Yarrowia lipolytica: one gene and its partner. The protein of the gene in region 1 binds, or shares a complex with, the protein of each later gene. Links are inferred from orthologs where the notes say so. Each region holds a gene or a part of one and is shown in the gene's direction. Other genes may lie near its edges.

Region 1 (3,154 bases):
GGAGCAAAGGCGTCCAATGCTGCGTCGCTCAGCTGGAACTCTGTGGCCTTGAGTCCAGACATGACGCCTGCTAGTGCGTAGATCTTGGAGGGGTCGAATCCTTCTCTCAGAATGTTGAGCAGCTTGAAGATGCAGATGGTTAGCGCTTCGATTCGAGACTTGTCAAAAGTGGTGTAGAGACCCTCGATAAAGGTCTCCAGAGTATCACCGTAGATGCAAACATTCTGATCGTCGTGTCTAGCAGTCTGGAAATGGGTAGCTTCGAGAAGATAAGGCAGCAGCTTGGATTCCAAGAAAGGGATGTCATGCTGAAAGACAACCAGAGAAGCAATTGGCAGAGCAAGAACAACCTTGGCCATGTACTTCCGCACGGTGTCCATGGTAGCATTGAGTCCCATGGCAATGAGAGCGATACCCCAACGAGGAGCAAGCTTGCATTCTGGCCCGAGGAACATGAGAATATCTCCCTCACAGGCCACCGTCTGGTTGTAGGAAGAGTCAATGGCGATGATCTCGGTGAGAGTAGCAAAACGTTTCCATTGCTCTAGCAGAACATCTCTGTCGGTTGTGGACCACTGCATGCTTTCCAGAGAAATGTCGCTGACAATATGCTGGACAGATCTTGAGATGATGTACAGGGCCAGCTTCTTGTGGTCGTAGGAGGTAGTCTTAAGAGGCCTGAGGAGACAGGCCCAGTAAAGGTCAGTCTTGAAGAGCGACTGGAAAGTCTCGGACTCGAGGGTAGCAGAGTCACATGCACTCAGCCACCACAGCCACAGCTTGTATCCCACGGTCTTGTGGTCGTCCAGGGACGAGTTGACGAGATCGGAGACAATGGTCCACAGATACGACGCCAGGGCGCTTGTAGCTACATTGGTCATTCTCAGTTTGAGAAGCACGGCAGCAGAATGGACCAGATCAGAGTCAGACAGACAGACAACATGGAGAAGCAGAGAGTCCAGCTGTGGGTTACCCAGGTCGTTGTTGAGCAGAAGAGATTGTAGGAACTTGAGAGATACTGCGGCGGTCTCAACGTCAACAGATCCGCCAGAATTCGACTCCTCCACAGCAGGCAGATCCGCATTTACCAGGTAGTTGAGATGAGGTTGGGACACATATGATCTCAGGTTGTTGTATGCATGGTCAAAGAGCAGCCTGGAGAGCAGAGGGATCTGACTCGAGACCAGGGTGATTGATTCCGAGCATGTACCAATCGACTCGGCGCACTTATCGGCCACATTGGCCACCTTTTCCTGGAACACCTGGGGTGTCAAGATCTCTTCCAGCAGCTGGAGGTCCTTGGCCTGGTTCACCAGGTCAGCCGACACGGAGGGACCGATCGCCCCGACCAGGCGGTCGGTGAGTTCATCCGCGTGTTTCCCCAGCGTGTGCTGATCCAGTTTTTTGAGCAGATCCAGCATCGGTTTTTGTGATATGACGTTTTGAATCAGCACTACCAAAAAATTTAGAAAGTTCCAAATTAAGCTTCCACCTTCATGCACAATTATTTTTCCACTATCGCCATCCACCCTCAGCTTAAAAAATTTAAGGCGTATACAACACCGCACACGCTACACATAATATCCACACGATGCCCTTCTCGCCAGCAGAAATCGACTATCTCCGCAAATCGCTCCAGGCCACGCCCACGATCCGACCAGACGCCCGAGAGCCCAACCAATTCCGGCCGGTGGATGCAGCGCAGAACTTTTTGCCAGCAACAAACGGATCAGCCCGAATAAGAACGTCGGACGGAGGCGAATGCATTGTGGGAGTCAAGGCCAAGGTGGTGAAGAACTCGTCCGTGGACGAACTGATTGCCGTGGAGGTGGATATTGACGATATCAGAGATGACAGTCCCTTGCCCAAGCTGCTGTCTGCCGTACTGCAGACGCTCATTCTTTCCAGCATTGACACAAACCGGCTTCGTCTGACCCGGTCCAATTATGCTTTCAAGCTACATATTGACGCGTTGGTGCTGTCGCACACCTCGTTTCCTCTGAACTTGGTGTCTCTGGCCATTTTCCTGGCTCTCAAATGCACACGTCTTCCTCTTCTGGTGTCCTCAGCCAATGACGAGGAGCACGAGGAGGTCCCTGTATTTTCCGACGACTGGGAGGAGTCTCTGGCGCTCTGTGGAGGCGAGATTCTGGCCAACAACTCCGGATCGGAGGCCATTTCGTGGACCCCGCCTCTGGTGTTTTCTCTGGCAGTGGTAGGGAACAACATTCTCGTCGATCCCACCCACGAAGAGGAGTCTGTGTCTGACCTTGGCCTCATCATGGGCTGGTGCAACGGCCAGGTCTGCGCTCCTCTACGAATCATCGATCTTGCATCTGCTGGAGGCAACGTGTCTCCCGAGCAGCTTAGCCAGCAACAGAGCATGCTGGAGCAGGGCATCGACCTGAACATGAAGGGTACTTCGCGAAAGCTCATCATGAAGGCCTACTCTCTGCTTACCAACACCGCTCCCGAGGTTGTTGCTGCGCTCGACGCCACTGCTGACGAGGAGGATGGTGCTTTGTTCTAAGCACCTGGAAAGAAAGGATGAGCCTTTACACATATACACAATGCTTGTGCACGACTGTATTAGATTTCATTGGTCGTGTCATACAAGTGACCACAGCTTTGCACATAATGTATTTTGATATTGAACAGTACGTACAGTACACTACAGAATGTACAAGTACCTGTAGCAGATGATATGTACTCATCACTTTACTGATTCGCCCTAGAGCAGCTAAGATGATTCAATGAACAATTCATACAACGGATTACATCAACTTCACTGTGGATACCGTTTGATAACGGCACCTGAGTCTATCCGCGGGTGTCTAGATGATGATGACAGTGGGAGTCACTATCAACGGATAAATTCCATCCAGTGAGTAATTAATGGAAATTCTTTGGCATCCCACATGTTCCAGAAAGCTTTCATTGTTGTATTATTTCCTTTGATATCTTTCAAGTGACTTCAAGCAGCTCCCTGTCGTATGATGTCGAGACTTGGCCATGTTAGCTCTTTAACAAACGAACCCCGATATCTAACTAATATATGTATGAGATAGTTGTATGGGTGAATGACTCTGGCCATGAAACATCACACAAGACGACTTTCTCTCTACAATATTGCCCAGATGTCCAAGGTACGATA
Region 2 (3,128 bases), about 510 kb from region 1:
ACCGATGATGTGCTTCGTTGAGTGAAAAGAAAGATAAACAGAGCCGAGCAATGAGTCGAGCGATGGGCCAGGCGATCTGTGAACGTGTCGAGTTGGCAAGTGGATCTCGGCTTTATACAACGGTTGATCTGTGTTGGACTTGCCTTGAGTGTGGTGTGATGAGAGATAGGTCGATGACTATGACTCTATGCTACCCGGTGTCTTTGGATGTTACGCCCCAGGTGAGGCGAACCGAATCTCAGTATGAAGAGGAGCTGTGGAAGGGGGACGCCAGTGGGGTCTCCGGGTTCATAGGGTGGTGGGATGAGGGTGTGGGGGAGGAGAAAGAGCTGCTAATGCGAAGAGACTGCAGCAGCAAATGCGATCTGTCTTTTGACCCTGCACTCTGCTAGACTCACCAATAAAATTTCTATTGAACCTTAGTCGACGGAGCTTATCCGGCGGTGGTGGGAAATTGTAGTGAGACATGGCCCGTCAGAGACCCGCCACAAGAGGACCATGGACAGGCCGAACCACCGTCGAGACACACGTCCAAGTGGTGTTTTTCCAACCGGAATCAGCGTGTCCACCAAAAAATCTCCTCCTAGACGGCCCCAACTCCTCCCCACCGCCGTCACTGGTCCTCCCCAGCCGCATCCTTCAACCACCCAGTTTTTCTGAAGCCAAAGTGCTCCCCGAAGCGTAGACCAAAAAAAAAAAAAACTAAAGAAAATTTGAAAATTTAAAAAAAACTAAGCCTATTTTTCAAGCTGTAGGGATCCATGTTGGACCTACAAGTAGGACTGCTGCGATAGACCGATAGACCGTGTGTCTTTCAGCTTCAGGGTTTGTGGCTCAAATGTCCCGAGTTTCCCGAATAGGCAGTCAACACACACGAGTCCTCCCGCGGACCCGGTCCCAAGCCTTGTTTGCAACATGGAAAAAATGTATCAAAAAATTGGGACCAGTGTAAAAAATGGCAACGAAACATGTTGACACACAGCAAAACCGTATACGGCACAAACCGGCAGTGTAAAGCTCCACTTTTGGGTGTAAACACGCGCCTTCTGGACCGGACGGGACCAGATGATGCTGTTGGATTGTTCTCGTGCCAGGTGGAGGAAGTGCCAGTCCTCCCTACCCTACTGTATCGTAGAGAGAGATAGCTCCGCCACCAGACGCTGGACGTGCGATAAGGAAAGACATGCTGCTGCACCGGCCAACGGTGTACATGACAGATGTGAGGGGTGCAGAACGGTGGCATGTGCTGTTGGGGTTGAAGTGGGAATAGCGAGCAAAATGCGTATTGGTGCGGTTCGAACGGGGGGTTTTCTGTTGTAGTGGGCCAGTTCAATTCCTGGCCATGTTGTTCTGCGCACGCCTTAGATTTGCCTTTCTGCATGAAGAAATAAATATCGAAAATCAATACACCAATTGCTACCCAACAGCACATAATGGTGAGTTCGAGGAGGATGTGAGGAGGGAAGGGGGGAGGGAATATGAGGAAAGGCGCAGCCGCCCTAACGCCTCCGACCATCTATGCGTCGTGAAAGAAATCAGATCGATCCTCCCAGGCATTTGCGGACGTTTTTCAAACGACTGTAATCTGACGACTTTGACATCTGACAATTGCTGGTTTTCAGCATCTCAATGTTCGTTTGGGAACTCTCTGACACGTCTGCAAATTGTGATTCATTTTGGATCAGACGCGGGCGCTTAGGATCAGACACAGGCACTTTGGATCAGACACACAGGGCACTTTTGCCTTCATATTCTTCACCACTAACCCAGTCTCGCCACGAAATATACTCCCCCGAAGGTCTGCGAACCGACGGACGACGGTGGAACGAGATCCGGAACTTTGACTGCAAAATCAACACCCACCCGACCTCGGCCGACGGCTCGTCGTACGTCGAGTGGGGCCACACCAAGGTGGTTTGCACCGTGGACGGACCTCGAGAGCCCGACAACCGCCAGAACACCACTGACCGGGCGGTCATCAGTGTCAATGTCAATGTGGCCTCGTTCAGCACAGAGACGCGGATCAAGCGGCAACGCAACGACAAGCGGCTCGCGGAAATGAACATTCTCATTCGCCAGCTGCTGGAGGAGGCGGTGCTGACCAAACTCAACCCCCGAACCCAGATTGCCGTCAATATCACCGTCATTGCCCAGGATGGCGGGCTTCTTCCTGCCTGCATCAACGCCGCCTGCCTGGCCATGATCGATGCCGGCGTGCCTCTCACCGACTATGTGTCTGCCTGTTCTTCCGGCGTCTACTCTAACAACGCTCTGATTGATCTCAACACCCTGGAGGAGCAAGACGTGCCGTTTCTGACGATTGGCGTCATTGGCAAATCTGACAAGATCTCAATGCTGACGCTCGAGACACAGCTGCCCATGGCGTCGCTGGAACCCGTGCTCGCCACCTCGCTGAGCGGGGCACACGCCATCCAGGACATTATGGACGCCGCCGTTAGAAAGCATGGTAAGCATAGACTCGAGAGAAAGTAACATAGCATCAGGGGCGAGGTGTAGAGAGAGGGAGATGAACGACGGAGGGATATCGGATGGTCTTCGATTGGGGCAAATGTCACTGTGGGAATTCGCAAACGGCACGTAAAAGGACTCGCAAAAGGACTCGCAAAAGGACTCGCAAAAAAACTCGCAAAAGGACTCGCAAAAGGGATTTGTCATGGGAACTCGACATGGGAACTCGACATTGAGAACCTCACCAAGGAGAACCTGCCCGTCATGACACTCATCTCTCTAATACGAGTAGACGCGAGCCTCTGAAGAGAATAGCCAATGATAGAACCTCTGTATACATAGATAAGATATTTTTATTACACATTTCAGACGACACCATTTCGGCTGGCTTTTTGAGATACCGTACACGTTCAGATTCTGCCTATGAAGCTGGTTCGAACCAGACTATCGCACCAGTCGGTTCAGCATGCGTTGTTTATTCTGATTGTATCATGATATCCGATCAAAGCCGTTATAAAAAGACAGGTTTGAGCTCTACACATTTCCAACCAGAACGACGGAACATTTCTCAAAAAAATGTACGACAGGTGGGCGATATTCTGATATCATTCGAATCCTCTTGGAATTTAGAGCCGAATGGTGTACTCTTGATTGTCAGT

The links. Proteins that work in one complex are often made in the same cells at the same time.
Region 2: the proteins of YALI1_D13790g (region 1) and YALI1_D08715g are in contact, whole or in part, in a crystal structure (PDB 5OKZ), measured with the Saccharomyces cerevisiae proteins. The link is inferred for Yarrowia lipolytica from reciprocal best matches to the Saccharomyces cerevisiae genes RRP42 and SKI6. Residues at the interface, in NP_010172.1 of Saccharomyces cerevisiae: Phe40, Leu41, Pro42, Ser43, Arg49, Ile51, Gly55, Glu57, Ile59, Ser61, Lys63, Gln77, Asp79, Asp81, Ala83, Phe125, Asp127, Leu129, Ile131, Ser132; in NP_011711.3 of Saccharomyces cerevisiae: Thr31, His32, His34, Ala35, Lys48, Ile50, Leu52, Asn77, Thr79, Lys80, Phe81, Lys83, Arg86, Glu125, His127, Leu129, Glu130.

What each region holds. Positions count from the first base shown.
Region 1 is NC_090773.1:1,377,470-1,380,623, forward strand, and holds YALI1_D13790g (uncharacterized protein), read left to right. Parts: upstream 1-1,591; coding exon 1,592-2,530; downstream 2,531-3,154. Other genes in the region: YALI1_D13788g (uncharacterized protein), read right to left, coding at 1-1,421. UniProt on the Saccharomyces cerevisiae protein: Non-catalytic component of the RNA exosome complex which has 3'->5' exoribonuclease activity and participates in a multitude of cellular RNA processing and degradation events.
Region 2 is NC_090773.1:870,084-873,211, reverse strand, and holds YALI1_D08715g (uncharacterized protein), read left to right. Parts: upstream 1-1,629; coding exon 1,630-2,493; downstream 2,494-3,128. UniProt on the Saccharomyces cerevisiae protein: Non-catalytic component of the RNA exosome complex which has 3'->5' exoribonuclease activity and participates in a multitude of cellular RNA processing and degradation events.